Callithrix jacchus: one gene and its partners. The protein of the gene in region 2 purifies or fractionates together with the protein of the main gene of each other region. This does not show direct contact. Links are inferred from orthologs where the notes say so. Each region holds a gene or a part of one and is shown on either strand. Other genes may lie near its edges.

The links.
Region 1: the proteins of YWHAE (region 2) and MAP3K1 purify together in Homo sapiens (co-immunoprecipitation; 3 studies listed by BioGRID and IntAct, with this or other methods). This does not show direct contact. The link is inferred for Callithrix jacchus from reciprocal best matches to the Homo sapiens genes YWHAE and MAP3K1.
Region 3: the proteins of YWHAE (region 2) and MAP3K2 purify together in Homo sapiens (affinity purification with mass spectrometry; 6 studies listed by BioGRID and IntAct, with this or other methods). This does not show direct contact. The link is inferred for Callithrix jacchus from reciprocal best matches to the Homo sapiens genes YWHAE and MAP3K2.

What each region holds. Positions count from the first base shown.
Region 1 is NC_133503.1:152,994,713-153,000,893, reverse strand, and holds part of MAP3K1 (mitogen-activated protein kinase kinase kinase 1), read left to right. Parts: intron 1-869; coding exon 870-991; intron 992-2,604; coding exon 2,605-2,696; intron 2,697-2,971; coding exon 2,972-3,161; intron 3,162-3,471; coding exon 3,472-4,753; intron 4,754-5,402; coding exon 5,403-5,555; intron 5,556-6,181. UniProt on the Homo sapiens protein: Component of a protein kinase signal transduction cascade. Activates the ERK and JNK kinase pathways by phosphorylation of MAP2K1 and MAP2K4. May phosphorylate the MAPK8/JNK1 kinase.
Region 2 is NC_133506.1:66,852,013-66,858,293, reverse strand, and holds the start of YWHAE (14-3-3 protein epsilon), read right to left. Parts: upstream 3,738-6,281; 5' UTR 3,626-3,737; coding exon 3,562-3,625; intron 1-3,561. UniProt on the Homo sapiens protein: Adapter protein implicated in the regulation of a large spectrum of both general and specialized signaling pathways. Binds to a large number of partners, usually by recognition of a phosphoserine or phosphothreonine motif.
Region 3 is NC_133507.1:37,086,545-37,092,825, reverse strand, and holds the start of MAP3K2 (mitogen-activated protein kinase kinase kinase 2), read right to left. Parts: upstream 3,796-6,281; 5' UTR 3,282-3,795; intron 1-3,281. UniProt on the Homo sapiens protein: Component of a protein kinase signal transduction cascade. Regulates the JNK and ERK5 pathways by phosphorylating and activating MAP2K5 and MAP2K7. Plays a role in caveolae kiss-and-run dynamics.

The DNA of each region.
Region 1 (6,181 bases), on a different chromosome or scaffold from region 2:
GTGTACTGGCCCGTTACTTTGTAGAATATCCCTCACTTTGGGTTTATATGATGTTTTCTCATGATTAGGTGGAAGATAACATATTTATCACAAGAATGCCACAGAAGTGGTAGGCACTTCTTGGTGCCTCATATCAGTGGGTACATATGTCCATGGCTTTTTATTATTGGTGATGCTGTCAGGTAAGGGAATGTCTACCAAGTTTCCCTGCTGTAAAGTTAATATTCATAAATATCTTGTGAGAGATGCTTTGAGATTATGTAGATATCCTATTTCACCTCAAAATTCTGTCCACTGATTTTAAAAGCATTTGTGGATCTTACCTACAGCATTTATTACTACATCATTAAAAATGGTGTTCTAATGGTGATTTTCTATTTTCCTCATTCCTTCTACATTAATTAATTGAAATTATGCTATAAAGAAGAGCTTCTCCATTTATATACTATTCAGTTTTTAATTTACATCAGCATAGGCTCCTGGGTATTCATTTTGTTCTGTGGGTTGCAACCCAGTACTACCATCATTGGTGTTGTTGCTCTAATTATTCCAGCCTTGACCATTGGGAGCTCTTTCAGGTTGGCTCCTGTTCTCATTTTCTTTTTAAAAATAATTTTGTAACTTTTCATCTTGAAATGAATTCAGACTTTTAAAAATTGCAGAGAAAAGAGTTCAGAAAATTCCTTCCTACCCCATTCATTTATTTAGTTAGTTGTTTGTATCATTACAGACACATGTGATTTTTATTCTATGGGTTATAATTCATTCCTGTCTTTACTTATTTTGTCGCTCAAATTGTCTCAAATTAGGCCATTATCTCTGGTGCCTTTTAAGTGTATATAAACTGACCTTCAGATTTTTTTCCTCAGAAAACGTTGAGAGCCATGCTGGTATATACTCCTTGCCACAGTTTAGCAGAAAGAATCAAACTTCAGAGACTTCTCCGGCCAGTTGTAGACACCATCCTAGTCAAATGTGCAGATGCCAATAGGTAAGGCTTTGTTGATGAACCACTTGAAACCATCTTGTCTTAAAAGTGCCTTGCAGCAAGCCTCACACCTAGTGAATGCCTGATACATTTTATTAAATGAGTCTTTGAACACTGTATTTTAATCCAAGATTTAAAATGAAAGTGCAGCACTTAAAGCTCTTAAGGACTGGGGAAAAGAACTGCCAGCAAGTAGAAGCCAGGCTGACAAACTGCATGGATCTCCACATTATTGTATTGTGATTTATTCTCTTAAATAACATTCATAATCTGAAGTCCAGTTGATAAGAATGATAGTTGACATTTATATTCATAAGGTATAATCTCATTTTAGAGTATGGATTACACAGGATAGGAACCAGTAAGATCATTACAGCCACATATGCCTTAATATCAGGATAAAAAATTAACAAATGCATCTCATTATTTTCAGTGTAATGGAATTTTATTCTAAATTATGACAGTTTTTGTCAAAAAATTTTTAGATTTTTTTTTTTATTTTCCTGCAATATCCTTGAAAATTGTCAGGGATCAAGAATAACCCTAACTGGAAAGAAAAATGTGAAGTAGAGAAGTAAGATACAATGACAGTAAAAACAAATATAAGCCATGCTTTTTTTAGACCAATAGTTCTCTATTATTTTTCCCTTCCATAAAATAGGAGGCAAAGATCACTTTTCATGTAATAATCACAGCTCCCATGAATAGTTGTTTGGTAGTTCCTGTTTCTTTCTAGCCCAGCAGATCTTGGTTAGCAAGAAGTGTTGAATCTCCCTTGCCTCTTCCATTTCACCCATTTTGAGGTCTGTCAGTACCTTTCTCTTCCTCTTCAAGTCATAATGACTTAGTTTGCACAGGATCTCAAAAATTAGGTACCTACGTTTAACTAATTTCTCATCTAATGAAGTCTGTCTTTTGCCTCTGTTGTTTTCCCTATAGATTGAAAATGTCAGATGTTTTCTTTTCACTTAGGGAAAACATTGTAAATATTTTTAAAATGGGCAAATTAACAAGCAGTTTGCAAAGTGCATAGGAAAATGTCAGTTTTCAATATTAGAATAGGTATTTTTCTGAGAATTCAGTGATCTCATGGTGTTTGTTGTGCTGCTTACTTTCTGAAATTCTAAAGTTTGGTGGTTTACCTGGTCACCTGAATGACTGAACATAAGAAATACTGTAGAGAGATATTATAATATTCAGAACCTCATTCTGGCTATGTAAGGGAATGTAGGATTTTTGGATGGGAAGATTTTGTTTTTAATTCAAGAGATTCTTAGTGAAAGTTCAGAAATCAAAATGTCAGCGTCCTTTTTCTTTTTTTTTTAAACAAAATATGATAAGACTTTTATCAGATTTGGTATTTAAATCAATACTTAGAGCCATTGTTGAAGATTCTGTGCTTAACATAGATATATGTTAAATTTATGAAATTAGACCTAATGAATGAATATTACTATTTATGGTGACACCCTTAATGTGATTTCAGTGGTGGAAAAGTAAACACTTCTGAAAACATTATTTCTCCACTTTTTCACAAGGCACTGCATTACTCCTCTAATACTGAATAGTATTTTATCCAAGATCCAAGATTGATATTGCTTTTCTTTTGCTTTTAGCCGCACAAGTCAGCTGTCCATATCAACATTGTTGGAGTTGTGCAAAGGCCAAGCAGGAGAGTTGGCAGTTGGTAGAGAAATACTAAAAGCTGGTAATAACTTTTCACTTAAAATAAATATAACTTATTTTATCATGTTCCTGAGGAGCTTTGTCTAATCTCATAATCTCTCATGAGGCAGTTACAAGATTTTGAAGTACTTTTATAAATTGATTCATTGTGTTACAGTTAAATATGTGAATTAATCTGAGAGAGAAATTCTTTAAAATAGTTGAGAACATTTTTGTTGGCTTTATACCATTTATGTCTTGTTTTAGATTTTAATATCACTATTTTTTAATCATTTATTTTTACTCTCCTTTTTGTAGGATCCATTGGTATTGGTGGTGTTGATTATGTCTTAAATTGTATTCTTGGAAACCAAACTGAATCAAACAACTGGCAAGAACTCCTTGGCCGCCTTTGTCTTATAGACAGACTGTTGTTGGAATTTCCTGCTGAATTTTATCCTCATATTGTCAGTACTGATGTTTCACAAGCTGAGCCTGTTGAAATCAGGTAATTTTTCTTCTGAAAATGTATTACTTGTATCTTCCTACCCTTCCTGCATGCTCCTCAAGAATGACACATTTTAGATTTATGAAAGACTCAGAAACTACAGAGCATAAGTAGGCTGCTGATAATTTAATATTTGGTTGACATATGAAACCCTGAAGTCTAAGGTGTTTAATTTAAAATTTATAGATACTTTATGCTGAAATGGTTTTTGAAGTATATATACATCCTGTAAATTACTACCATTTTTTAAGTTTCCATGTACTTTTCAGTAATCAGAACTTACATGGTAATGAATGTTTTTTTCTTTCAGGTATAAGAAGCTGCTGTCCCTCTTAACCTTTGCTTTACAGTCCATTGATAATTCTCACTCAATGGTTGGTAAACTTTCCAGAAGGATCTACTTGAGTTCTGCAAGAATGGTCACTGCAGTACCCCATGTGTTTTCAAAACTGTTAGAAATGCTGAGTGTTTCCAGTTCCACTCACTTCACCAGGATGCGTCGCCGTTTGATGGCTATTGCAGATGAGGTGGAAATTGCTGAAGCCATCGAGTTGGGCGTAGAAGACAATTTGGATAGTCAACAGGATGGCTTTTTGCAGGCATCTGTCCCCAGCAACTATCCAGAAACCACAGAGAACAGTTCCCCTGAGTGTACAATCCATTTAGACAAAACTGGAAAAGGATTATGTGCTACAAAATTGAGTGCCAGTTCAGAGAACATTTCTGACAGACTGGCCAGCATTTCACTAGGACCTCCTAGTTCAACAACAACAGAGCAACCAAAGCCAATGGTTCAAACAAAAGGCAGACCCCACAGTCAGTGTTTGAACTCCTCTCCTTTATCTCATCATTCCCAATTAATGTTCCCAGCCTTGTCAACCCCTTCTTCTTCAGCCCCATCTGTACCAGCTGGCACTGCAACAGATGTCTCTAAGCATAGACTTCAGGGATTCGTTCCCTGCAAAATACCTTCTGCATCTCCTCAAACACAGCGCAAGTTTTCTCTACAATTCCAGAGAAACTGTCCTGAAAACAAAGACTCAGATAAACTTTCCCCAGTCTTTACTCAGTCAAGACCCTTGCCCTCCAGTAACATACACAGGCCAAAGCCATCTCGACCTACCCCAGGTAATACAAGTAAACAGGGAGATCCCTCAAAAAATAGCATGACACTTGATCTGAACAGTAGTTCCAAATGTGATGACAGCTTTGGCTGTAGCAGCAATAGTAGTAATGCTGTTATACCCAGTGATGAGACAGTGTTCACCCCAGTAGAGGAGAAATGCAGATTAGATGTCAATACAGAGCTCAACTCCAGTATTGAGGACCTTCTTGAAGCATCTATGCCTTCAAGTGATACAACAGTAACTTTTAAGTCAGAAGTTGCTGTCCTGTCTCCTGAAAAGGCTGAAAATGATGATACCTACAAAGATGATGTGAATCATAATCAGAAGTGCAAAGAAAAGATGGAAGCTGAAGAAGAAGAAGCTTTAGCAATTGCCATGGCAATGTCAGCGTCTCAGGATGCCCTCCCCATAGTTCCTCAGCTGCAGGTTGAAAATGGAGAAGATATCATCATTATTCAACAGGATGTAAGTATAGATTCTTTAAGAGGTTACTTGGGGCTGGGCAGTGACTCACACCTGTAATTCCAGCACTTTGGGAGGCTGAGGTGGAAGGATTGCCTGAGCACAGGAGTTTGAGACCAGCCTGGGTGACAAAGCAAGACCCTGTCTCTACAAAAAATTGTTTTAAAAATTAGCCAGTCATTATAGTGCATGCCTGGTGTCCCAGCTACTCCGGAGGCTGAGGTGGGAGGGTCACTTGAACTTGGGAATTTGAGGCTGCAGTGAGCTGTGATTACACCACTGTACTCCAGCCTAAATGACAGAGCAAGAAACTCTCAAAAAGAGTTTCCCTGGACCATGCTGAAATCTAATTCAGAAATGTTGCTTCTAACATGAGTTAATCATTGCAAACAGGTCTTTCGATGTAAAATTATTAATTACACAACAACAACATTTTAGCAATACTTCTTGCCTATATAAAAGGCATTTCTAGTTAATTCTATAATGGTGATCATTTTTGCATTTGACATTGGTCACCAGTAATTTCCATTCAGAGGTCACATTTATAGGTGGTTTGGGAGGCCAAACTGAACAAGAATAATATCTTGCCAGACTAATTTCCCAAAATCTTACTCCTTTAACAGTAAAAAGATTGCTTTCATTTAATATGTAGACACCAGAGACTCTACCAGGACATACCAAAGCAAAACAACCATATAGAGAAGACACTGAATGGCTGAAAGGTCAGCAGATAGGCCTTGGAGCATTTTCTTCTTGTTACCAGGCTCAAGATGTGGGAACTGGAACTTTAATGGCTGTTAAACAGGTAAATATATAGCGAGCATATAAATGAAATCATGAAATGAAGCATATTCAATAAAAAGAACAAAAAATATGTCTACATGTGTGTGTACTTTAGTTCTTTAAAGTTTGAGAAACTTGAATTTCAAAGTAGATGTTTCCAAAGTACCAGAAACATCATGAATTCTGTTATTAAAAGTTGAGGCTGGGCGCAGTGGCTCACGCCTCTAATGCCAGCACTTTGGGAGGCTGAGGGTGGTTGCATCATTTGAGGTCAGGAGTTCAGGACCAGTCTGGCCAACATGGTGAAACCCTGCCTCTATTAACAGTACAAAAATTGGCCAGGCATGGTGGTGGGCGCCTGTAGTCACAGCTACTCAGAAGGCTGAGGCAGGAGAATCGCTTGAACCTGCGAGGTGGAGGTTGCATTGGGCCAAGATTGCACACTGTCCTCTAGCCTCAGTGACAGAGCAAGACTCCTCCTCAAATAAAATAAATAAAAGTTGAAGTATGATTATTGTAAAACTACAGTATCAAGATGGCCTTAAAAATGTTTTTTGGTTTTGCTTTTTGTAGGTATTAGAAGTGTGGTTTTCAGGTACTTCTTTCAGCTGTGTACTGATGGAGTGCCATCTTGGGGTTTCATTGGTT
Region 2 (6,281 bases):
ATTTTTAACACTACATTGCCCAGTTCTGTCTATGTATTTAGGTAGGAGAAAATCTTTTCTCCAAAAGTTAGTCCATTAACTGAAATGGCAATGGAAAATTGCTGGCCTATAGTCAAATAATTAGTAGTTAATCTAAATGCTTCTAAATTTATTAACAAAGTTAATTTACTACTACCCATATTTTCCCTAACAGGACTGTAGTAAAAAGTTCATTCCACACATGCTCCCTCTCCATTCTTCACTAACTAGCAGAATAAGCTAGCTGGAGGTGAGGTTCTGGTGTTTTCACAGGACAGCTCTCAAGTGACTCAACAGATGCATTCCTAGTGAATCAAAAATGACCGTCAAACTTCATCCTACCTCCCATGCAGCCAATCTTGACAGGGAGAAGATGAGGAAAGGACAAAATCAACAGCTGCTGCACAAGCCCAAATGCAGTTTATGTTGCCCCTCTGCTCCCCAAAATGGGGAAACTATTCATTTTTCCCCTCTATATTGTCCACCTTCCCCCCCTCCCCAGTGTCGCTCTGTCGTTGCCCAGTCTGGAGGGCAATGGCACAATCTCGGCTCACTGCAACCTCTACCTCCAGGGTTGAAGCAATTCTCCTACCTCAGCCTCCTGGGTGGCTATGCGCAGCTAATTTTATTTTTGTAGAGACAGGGTTTCACCACATTGGCCAGACTGGTCTTGAACTCCTGACCTCAGGTGACCCACCCACCTTGGCCTCCCAAAGTCCTGGGATGACAGGCCTGAGCCACCGCACCCAGCCTATTCCCCACGTTTTTGTACCAATTTGTATATGGGACGGTAAGACTTACTTGAGAAATGTTAAATGATGGACTTGCTTAACATGGTTTTAAACGATGTAAAAACTATTCCTTAGACCACTAGCTTGTTAAAGTAATGAGATGCTAGATGTAATCTTCAACTCCTAGCCCCAAACTTCAGTATTTCCTGTGACCCAAAATTGTCCTTTTCCTGAACACAACTTAACTCTTCCTCCCGTACCATTAAATAATCCATATAAATTGATTCCAATGCCCCAGGACAGAATTAAATGAGGCTACAAAGAAGTTTAGGCACTCGTTTAACACAGCAAGCAAAACAAAATAAACCTACTGCAGTACAGGGAGATAAGAGCGAAGGACAGCTGGAAAACCAGCACTTGCATACAAGCACCCAAAAAAGAAATCCTGCCAATACTCTTAGCTTCTTCCACCAGTCCCACCCCCTCCCCACACTTGATCAATTCCATTTGGTGACTAGAACTAAGGGAAAAACTTTTTGTCACCACAAACAAAAAAATATTGCCCTAAATAAAGGAATGGACAAAGACAGAGGCCGATTCCTGGTGTCTGTCTCCCCTCCCCTTTCTACTGAGTCCTTACCTTATGCCCAAGTCACAGGAAGAGCTCCTCACCTTGGAGATCTATTTTCCTACCGCTTTAGATGCTGAAAGGGACACCTAACATTAATAACTGCAATATTGTGGCCGTATCAAAGAATCCTACGTTCAAAACCCAATAAAGGTTCTGGTCAGAAATCCTCACGCCAAAATATAACTACAATAACCTGTAATTTATTTGGAAACTACAATCATAAGCTTTCCAATCGGTTTAAAAAAAAAAAACTCACATTCTTTCTAGTTACCACAGCCAGTTTAATTAAATAGCCCCAATCCCCACAAAACAGAAAGCATTCAAGTATCATTTGTTTCCTACGGAGAACACTAATAGATGAAGAGGGGAACATCTGGAGATGAGGGCGGAGGGGAGTCTTCCAATATAAGCACACCTATTTGTTTGATTTTTCAACACTGAAATAAAGAGAGCTGACCTTGAGCTGTACTTCCCCATTTTATCCCTTCCCTCCCCCAACAGCAACTTTGTTCAATACAAATAACAAAGAATTTACAAGACGAAATTTAGTTCAGCATATTTCGTATATTTGAGCTCTAGAGGACTTGTCTTATTTTCAAATCCCTGAATCCTCATTTCTGATAATGGGAACCAGCCCTGAGGTTATTCACATGACCAAATCGGCATTTCCAGGAAAGCAATGGCCCTCTGAAACATTTTGAAATATAGGTAGCTTAACCAGGAAAAATCTCACATCAAGGACACTAGATTCCAACCATGTCTCACCCCACCGTACCATGCAAAAGCATGAAAACCACAGCAGCCGCATACAGGACTTCTGGTTTCGGTAATACCACAGTATCGAAAAATTCTAAATGTGAGGGAAATTCAAGTCTACAGGTCAAAAAAGGTGGATGGGGGGGAGGATGAAGAAGAAACTTCCTGGCAGACACAATGGATATTTCGATCAAGTTCTGAAAGAGGACTGAAGAACCAATTAAGGGCAAAGGGACAATGAGCAAAGAGGAACTACTCAAAGTCCTACATAAACCCACTTATTTAAAATAAAAAATAATAATAAAAAAAAAGAATAGGACCTCCAACCTTCATAACTCAAAGACCCCAGGCCCAGCCGAGTGCCTGGAAGAGGCAAAGGTCCCCCACGAAGTACAAACCCGCATTTCGAGCCTGCAGAGTCAACCAAAATACAGTTACTAAACGCTACTGGAAACAACTTTATTTCAACAGGTCTTTTTTTTCCCATGTGTCATGAGGGTGCGGACAAACTGTAAAGTCATCGTTTTCCCAAACGCGAGGACGAAGGCTCGAACCCAGAGTCGCGCAGCCCCCTGGTCTCCTGGTTCCATCCATCAGAACCCGCTGCTGACGGAGCCAGAGAAAGGTTACAGGAACTTCGAGCTTCACCATTTAGAGCGCGGAAAAGGGGCGGGAGCCCGGATCTTCTGGACCTCCCCGGAAGGCGGCGAGGGGGGAAAAGCCCGAAACCCCTCACTCCGCGGCGCCGGCGGACGCAAAACAAACCCGACCGCGGCCCCGCAGCCCGCCACCGCCCAGGACCCAGAGCAGCGATGCTCGCTCGCCCGCTCCCCGCTGTCACCCAGGGCGGCCTCCCGACCCAGGCCCGAGGAAGCGCATCGCGTTCCAGGCTCTCCTTTGTGAGACTCCACGGCCGCCGCCCCACACGAAGCCTCCGGGGAGAAGCCACCGCCCCCACCCGCCATATTTCCCTGAAAGGCGCCCGCGCTACAGCTCCCGGTCTTGGCGCTCTCCCGTGTGGAGGGTGCTGCTTCCCCCGTCACCCTACCCAATCGTTCTCCACCTCCCAAGGCCGTCCCGGAAGCTTCCCTGGGGGTGGCCGGTTCCGCGGCAGCGCCCGCCATCTCCTCCCCCTCCCCCGCCCCGGGATTCGCCCTCCCCCCAGCCGCCATTTTACAACCAACTCCTCCACCCCGGCCTCTCGGCCCGCGAGGTATGTGTAGCTGAGGACAGCGAAGGGGTCACATTCCGGGGCACACGGCCTCCCGTCGCTCCGGGAGTTCCCAAGCCAGGTTCCGCTCCCCGAACCCAAGTCCCCGGGCCACGCTCGCGGACGATGCCGCCATTTTGTCTCCCGTTCCCGGCCTCTGTGGGCGGCGGCAGAGGGTCCAAGAATTCCAGCCCCCCGTTGCCCCCACAACTCACCGTCGTATCGCTCAGCCTGCTCGGCCAGCTTCGCCTGGTACACCAGATCCTCCCGATCATCCATAGCGGCAGCGGCTCCGGCAGGGTCTGCGCGACGGATGGAAACGGATAGTGTCTACGACTCTCTCAGCCTTTCGCTCCGCGTCCGGGCAGCAAAAATGGCGGCGCCTCAATCCGGGACTTCCGCCTGCGCACGCGGACAACTGCTCAGCTCTATGGCAACCGCTCCCTGGCAACTGGCGCGGGGGGCGGGTCCTGGAACCTGCGCCGGAGACGCCCCTCCTCCGTCCGCTCAGCGGGCGCCGGGGCCTAGAGGCGGGAACTGCGACTGCCGCGAGGGAGCGGCCCCCGGGGAACACGACGGCGGTGGCCAGGCCGGCCCGGGCTGCTCCTGAAAACCGCGGGCGCGAGACCTGGGCCAGACTGACGGCCGACGTCCGGCCTGCGGAAAACCACCACGGAGGCTGGGACGGTTTCTGTCATCATAGCAGGTCTTCCTGCCTGAAATCAGCGCTGTTTCTACCGCGCCCTGGTTTTCTTTTTCCTTTTTCTTTTTCTATTTTTTTGAGATGGAATTTCACCCTATCGTCCAGGCTGGAGTGCGATGGCGCGATCTCGGCTCCCTGCAACCTCCGCCTCCCGGGTTCAAGAGATTCTCCCGCCTCAGCCTCGCGAGCAGCTGGGATTACAGGCATGCGGCTCCACGCCCGACTGATTTTTGTACTTTTCGTAGCGAAGGGGGTTTCTTCATCTTGGCCAGTCTGGTCTCGAACTCCTGACCTCAGGTGATCCGCCCGCCTCGGCCTCCCAAAATGCTGGGATAACAGGCGTGAGCCACCGAGCCCAGCCAGCGTCCTGGTTTTCTCCGCCAAGCCTGGTCGTGGGCCTTTTGCAGACACTTTTACCCTCAGGGTAAAGAGCTGGGCCCTGGCCCCGGCGCGGTGACTCACTCCTGCCATCCTAGCAGTTTGGGAGGCCGAGGCCAGCGGATCACTGAAGTTGGGAGTTCAAGACCATTCTGGCCAACTTGGCGAAACCCCGTCTCTACTAAACAATGTACATATGAGGCGGGCGCGGTGGGGGGCGCCTGTAATCCCAGCTACTCCGGAGATTGACGCAACAGAATCATTTCAAACCGGGAGGGGGAGGGTGCGTTGAGCCAAGACGGCGCCATTGCACTCCAGCCTGGTCAACAAGAGCAAAACTCCATCTGAAAAAAAAAACAACACTGGGCCCTATTACAGTTGGCAGGGACAGGGGAGCTGCAGTTTTCACGCCTCCACTTTGCCCTCACACTCATCTTTATCTTCTCCTGTTTAACCTTTTTTCCCCAGAGGCTGCCATGAATGGGAGCAGGGAAATTGTTAGAAGAGGATGGTGTGGAGTACATAGTATAGAATAGTCGAACTGAGATCAATTTAAGATTGAGGAGGCAGGAATAACTCAGGGAACATTGCTTCAGTGCCTGGGCCTTGGGAGGCTGAGGCAGGAGAATCACTTGAGCCCAGGAGTTTGAGACCAGCCTAGACAACATAGCGAGATGCCATCTCTACAAAAAACTTTGTTTTTAATTAGCCAGCCATGGTGATGTCACCTGTGGTCCCAGCTACCCAAGAGACTTCGGTAGGAGGATTGCCTGAGCTTGGGAGGTCCGGGCTAAAGTGAGCCATGTTAGTGCAGCTGCACCCCTGCCTGGGCAACTGTGAAACCCTGACTCAAGAAACAAAACAAAACAAAAACAGAAAGAAAGAAAAAGGTAGGGCCCAGAGTGGTGGCTCACACCTGTAATCCCAGCACTTTGGGAGGGTGAGGCAGGTGGATCACCTGAGGTCAGGAGTTTGAAACCAGCCTGACCAACATAGAGAAATCCCGTCTCTATTTAAAACAATAATATACCTGTAATCTCAGCCACTCGAGAGGCTGAAGCAGGAGAATCGCTTGAACCCAGGAGGCAGAGGTTGTGGTGAGCCAAGATTCCCCCATTGCACTCCAGCCTGGGTGACAGAGGGAAACTCCATCTCAACAATGACAACAAAAAAAAAAGGTAGGTTAGAATCAAATTGTGAAGGACCTGGGATAGTAAGAAGTTTAAATCAATTTTTTTTTTTTTCCGAGATGGAGTCTTGCTCTGTCACCCAGGCTGGAGTGCACTTGGCACACTGCAACCTCCACCTCCTGGGTTCAAGCAATTCTCCTGCCTCAGCCTCCCGAGTAGCTGGGATTATAGACACCCATCACCATACCCCGCTAATTTTTATGTGTGTGTGTGTATATATAATTTTTTTTTTTTTTTTTGAGACGGAGTTTCACTCTTGTTACCCAGGCTGGAGTGCAATGGCGTGATCTCGGCTCACCGCAACGTCCACCTCCTGGGTTCAGGCAATTCTCCTGCTTCAGCCTCCTGAGTAGCTGGGATTACAGGCACGTGCCACCATGCCCAGCTAATTTTTTGCATTTTTAGTAGAGACGGGGTTTCACCGTGTTGGCCAGGCTGGTCTCAAACTCCTGACCTCGTGGTCCACCTGCCTCAGTCTCCCAAAGTGCTGGGATTACTGGTGTGAACCACCCTACCCAGCCATCAATTTCACTTTTTAAGAGACATAGGGGCATGTTGGCTCATGCCTCTAATCCGAGCTACTTGGGAGGCTAAGGCAGAAGAAACACTTGAACCTGGGAGGTGGAGGTCGCAGTGAGCTGAGATCCTGCCATTACACTGCAGT
Region 3 (6,281 bases), on a different chromosome or scaffold from region 2:
TTTTAGCATTTTTTGGCAATGAAAAATTTTAGTTATATATATTATTTTAAGAATGTCATTGCATACTTTAATAGACTACAGTATATTGTAAACATAACTTTGTATGCACTGTGAAGCTAAAAAAAGAGAAAAAAAGAAATATATTTTATAAGGCTTAACTACCATAGAGAGTGATCAGATTCTTCTGATAGATCTGAGCAAAGTAAATTGAAACCCTTCTGGAAAGGATTCATAATTCTAGATGCTATTAAGAACACTGATGATTCATGGGAGGAGGTCAAAACATCAACATTGACGGGAATTTGAAAGAAGCTGATTCCAGCCCTCATGGATGACTTTGAGGGGTTCAAGACTTCAGTGGAAGAAGTAACTGCAGATGTGATGAAAACAGCAAAAGAACTACAATTGGAAGTGGAGCTAAAACTTGAACGGATAAGAAGTTGCTTCTTATGGATGAGGAAACAAAGTCGCTTTTTTTTTTTTTGGAGACAGGGTCTTGCTCTGTTGCCCAGGCTAGAGTGCAGTGTCACAGCTCACTGCAGCCCTGACCTCCCTGGCACAAGCAATCCTCCTGCTTCAGCTTCCCAAACTACCACAAGCAGCTAACTTTTGTGGGTTTGTTTTTTTTTTTTTTGAGACAGAGTTTCACTCTTGTTACCAAGGCTGGAGTGCAATGGCGCGATCTCAGCTCACTGCAACTCCACCTCCTGGGTTCAAGCAATTCTCCTGCCTCAGCCTCCTGAGTAGCTGGGACTACAGGTGTGCGCCACCATGCCCAGCTAATTTTTGTATTTTTAGTAAAGACGGGGTTTCTCCGTGTTGACCAGATGGTCTCAATCTCTTGACCTTGTGATCCACCCACCTCGGCCTCCCAAAGTGCTGGGATTATAGGCGTGAGCCACCGTACCCGGCCAACTTTTGTATTTTTTTAATGGGTTTTTGCCATGTTGCCAAGGCTGTTCTTGAATTGCTTGGTGCAAGCAATCCTCCTGCCACAGCCTCCCAAACTGCTGGGATTATAAGCGTGACCCCATTCGGCCTGGCCAGAAAGTAGCTTCTTGAGATGGAATCTACTCCCAATGAAGATACTGTGATTATTATTGAAGTGGTAACAAACAACATCACATGCTAGAGTGAAATCTTTCATGAAAGGAAGAGTCCATTGATGCAGCAAACTTCACTAATGTCTTATTTTAAGAAATTGCCTCAGTCATCCCAAACTTCAACAACCACCCTTATCAACCACCCTTACTTACTAGTCAGCGGCCATCAACATGGAGGCAAGACCCTCCACCAGCAAAAAGATTACAACTCTCTAAAGGCGTAATGTTCTTTAGCAATTTTTAGCAATAAATAATTTTTAATTAAAGTATACATTTCTTTTAGACATAATGCCATTGCACACAATAGACTATAGTATATTGCAAACATAACTTTATATGCAATGTGAAACTAAAAAATTTGTGTGACTCACTTCATTTGCTTTATTGCGGTGGTCTGGAACCAAAAGCCACAATCTCTCTAGGGTATGCCTGTACATGTACTTATAGATAAACCAAATATGGCAAGATATCAACAAATGTTTAGAGGGTCATCATACAAGTGGTTTACTATTACCAAATTTTCTGTATGCTTGAAATTGTTTGATAATAAAAAGTGGGAGGTGGGGCAAATAGCTACAATTCTACAGGGAAAGAGCAAATCAACCTGAAACCAACGCTGTAGGAAATGTGGAGTATCAAACATGACTTTATTTTAATACAGCACCTATTAGTTTACCGCTTGGGTACTAATAAAGTAAACGAGAAACAAAAGCTCCACTTAAAACATTACTTAAAAGATTCAGTCTCTAATGCAATTCAATTATTTAAGATAAGCCTTTAACAGCTAGTTTCTCAAAACAGGCACATAGATAACCATTCTAAAATGATTCAACGTATGTTTATGTTTTAACCAAACAACAAATCAATCTGTAAAGCAGCAACATGTTAACTTTGTAATTTCTTTTCTTTACAGAGACTGCAAGGCCACAAATTTTCTTCAACCTGACAATATACTAGGAAAATAACAGACTAGTATAATTGGGCATCAATAGACTTCTTAAACATTTGCAATTATGCATAAAGCTTCAATTACTCAATGGAATGTATCAACTGTTTTTCTGTACAGAGCTCTGGCTCTTTTTTTCCCCTGACCATAGTTTAAAAAAAAAAAAAAAAAAACCCATGCTAAAATGAGAATTTTCAGTTAGTTTACAAACACTGGTAAGTAGCACTCCATATAAATGAAAGAGAATCACACCATCAAACTTTCTACGACATTCTACACATTAAAATTTCACATCGAACTATAAAATATTGCATAAGACAATGCACGAATCACTAAATTGCCTCATAATCCAGCAACAAATTTTGCAACAAGGGAATCTCAAGCAAATAACCCACTGTGAGTTCCCTTTAGCCATCAAGGACAAACTACAAAAGTCAACTTGTAACTTTTCAAGATCTATGCCGTTTCACCAAGTGTATTTCTTTTTTGTAAGACAGTAAATTTTTGCTGTACAGTACTAGTACATAGAAAGTAAAGGTATCTGAAACCATCTTTTTATTTTTAAAGCCAAAGAAATGATTTGGCAAAAGACAACGAAGAGCCTATGTTAGGAAAAAATAAACTGTAACTGCCTATGTGTTTAGAATTTTCCCCATTAAAGAAACTGCCCAGTTAGTCTCATTTTCTTCACGTATTTATTTTTGCAAGGCGAGAAATAGTCTTACAAAAAGCCATCCGCATATTCGAACCAAGTCTTCCTGGATTACTAGCTTCATGACCTTGGACAAACGCCTTAATTTCTCTGAGCCTCAAAGATTTCAGCTGTAAAATGGGGCAATATACCCACTCCATTGGGCTGGGAAGCTGAAGACAGATAATCACGACAACTGCCGGGCACAGACTAACAGCACCGTAAGTGCTACCTAAATATTCCGTAAAGAGAAAAGGGAAAAACCTTAAATCATTTCTGCTTCATCCCAAAACCAACTGCATCATTCCTTCTAAAATCTCTGCAGGGTACGTGTCTGACACTAACACAGCCCAGCAGCCTACTTCTCGCTGACCTGGGCTTCAGAACCGGTTGCAGGGGGCCCAAGGTCCACCCTCCCGGACCCAGGCAATCACCATCGAAACCTCCGACCCGGAGCGGCGCTTAGGCCGCCGCCAGCCCCTTCTCAGCCCCGACACACACACACACACACACACACACACACACGCACACACGCACGTACCGGCTGTTCCGCAGGGACGTAGAGAGCCGCAGGCCTAAGGAGGGGCCGCCCCCGCCGAACCCGCCCCTCCACCCCCTCGCGGCCTGTCACCGCGGCCCGGTCGGGGGCGGCCGCTGGGCCCCCCGGGGCCGGGGGGGCGCGCGAGGAGTCCGGCACGGGCCGGGGAGCCAGGCCCGTCCCTCTTTCACATGAAGCCCAGGCCGAATGGGGTGGCAAGCGCGTGAATCCTCACGGCCGGCCAGGTCCTCCTGGGGCTCCTCGATGCTTCTCGCTGCTGCAACCCCGAGGCCCGCGGGGAGCTGGACAGGAAAGGAGGAAGCCGCGGGCCCGCGTTGCCAGAGACCGTAGAAGAGGCGGGAGTGGCGACTCCGTGGACAAGCGCACTACTCGTCCTCGTCGTTGCCGCCGCGGGCCGTGCGCCCCTCGAACGCTGCGCCCAGCGGCCGCAGCACCCTCGTCAGGCGCCGCCGCTGAGGGCAGGCAGCCCGGCCGCCACTACACACAGACCCGTGACGGCGGGCGTAGAGCGGCGCACGTCACGGCCGCTCGCTCGTGCACGCGCCCCCCTCCGCCCGCCGGGATGGAACCCGCCGCGGGCGCGCGCCCGGCCAAGGGGAGTGGGTCGGCGCCTGCGCAGAGGCCCGCAACGCCCACACACACGCCCGGTCCTCCCCCTCCCCCTACAACCGGCCGGACTGAGCGGGGATTCCCAGTCCTGGCTCCGCCCCGGCCTCGGCCCGCCCCTAGCCCCGGGCAGCCTGAGCTGTTCCGCGTGCGCGGCGCACAAGCACCGGGGTTGTCTCTAGCCTGCTGAAGTGGCAGGTCCCAGACGTCTGGGATGTCCCAGACGTCCGAGTAGATCCCGGGAAAGGTCTCCCACGTGGGCTGCTTACGGGGCCCAAGGATAGCAGATAGCTAGCAGAGGCAGTGACCGACTGAGTCTATGGCAGGTCGTTTGCAAGGCGAAAAGCCATCTGCCTCTTAATTTGTGGCTCAAGTTTCAGAATTTTTTTCCTAAGGGACTTTAGAAATTACTTCAGTTTTGCCGCCTAACCTTAAACCACCCCCTTGGAGACCGGATGAGTGTTATTTGTGTTTTCTGTTTAGTTCTTATCACCATCGATACTTGGTTGTAACAATGGTCGTGCACTTTCGTTGGCCAGGCAAGTCTTAACTTCTCCAGCTTTACAGATGTGGAAACCTCAGCCCAGAGACATGAGTTGACACCCAGCCCCCAAAGCTAGAGTCTAAAACCCTTTCCTTCGCTCCTCATCGCCCACGGAGAAAGCATCTTCCCGCCCCCTCTCTTCTTTCCTTAAATACTCGTTACAACTTCCTGTACCATTCTCTGTTGAGCTTCTACTTGGTTTCTCCCTACATTCTGGATCCACCCCTTTCATTCATTTTCCAGACCACGTTTCCACTGCAGCATTTGAAATGAGAGAGATGGGAATGGGACCCATCCGGCCCAGCTACCCCAGCTCCGAGGGTGAAGGGAGCTGGCACTTGTGAGGGAGAAACTGTTGTGTAATGTCAAAATATCTCTGGGTTTCTTCCAGGAATTTGTATTACAAACCCATTAACAGAGGTGTCAAAGGCATAGGAAAGAGGATGTGCACCTCAGAAACAGCTCAGTGGAAAATCAGTTTACTTCTATTTGTTTAAAAAAATGGAGCACCAGGGCCGGGCGCGGTGGCTCACGCCTGTAATCCCAGCACTTTGGGAGGCCGAGGCGTGTGGATCACGAGGTCAACAGATCGAGACCATCCTGGTCAACATGGTGAAACCCTGTCTCTACTAAAAATACAAAAGATTAGCTGGGCATGGTGGCGTGTGCCTGTAATCCCAGCTACTCAGGAGGCTGAGGCAGAATTGCCTGAACCCAGGAGGAGGAGGTTGCGGTGAGCCGAGATCGCGCCATTGCACTCCAGCCTGGGTAACAGGAGCGAAACTCCGTATCAAAGAAAAAAAAAAAAAAAAAAAAAGGATCCCCTTTGGGCCGAAAGCAGTGGCTCACGCCTGTAATCCCAGCATTTTGGGAGCCCGAGGCCGGCAGATCACCTGAGGTCAGAAGTTCGAGACCAGCCCGACCAATATGGAGAAACGCCGTCTCTATTAAAAATACAAAATTAGACGGTCATGGTGGCGCATGCCTGTAATCCCCGCTACTCTGCAGCTGAAGCAGGAGAATCGCTTGAACCAGGAGGTGGAGGTTATGGTGAGCCCAGATCGTGCCATTGCACTCCAGCCTGGACAACAGGAGCAAAATTCTGTCTGAAAGAAAAAAAAAAAAGGAGGACTTTTATGCATAAAAATCTAAGGCCTTCTTGAATCTAACATTTTAAGACATATGCCACAGAAAGGAGAGTCTCAGAATGCCTGAGGATAGTATTTAAATTTTTTTTTTTTTTTTTTGAGACAGAGTCTTGCTCTGCTGCCAGGCACCAGGCTGGAGTGCAGTGGTGCGGTCTCGGCTCACTGCAACCTCCCGGGTTCAAGCAATTCTCCTGCCTCAGCTTCCCGAGTAGCTGGGACCACAGGCCCACGCCACCACATTCAGCTAATTTTTGTATTTTTTAGTAGAGAAGGGGTTTCACCATGGTCTCAATCTCTTGACCTTGTGATCGGCCCACCTCAGCCTCCCAAAGTGCTGGGATTACAGGCGTGAGCCACCGTCCTGGCCCTTTAAATCTTAAACCTCTAATATTGTTCTCCACAGTTACCGGTTACCACGTAGCAGGCATTCAGTAAAAACTTGTTTACTAAATAATCTAGAGATAGCTTTTTTTTTCCCCTCATAGTTCTGCTCATTTCTCTACTCTCTTCCCTAACTTACCATCCCTGGGGACTTCATTCACCTCTAGGTTCCTCAGAAACATCCCATGCATATAGTTATAGTAGCTATTCTTTCTTTTTTACCATTCTCCGTTTACATTGGTGACTTTTCCTCTTGCTTAGATATTAAATCTCTAACATCTTGGGTTATTTTAGTATATATGA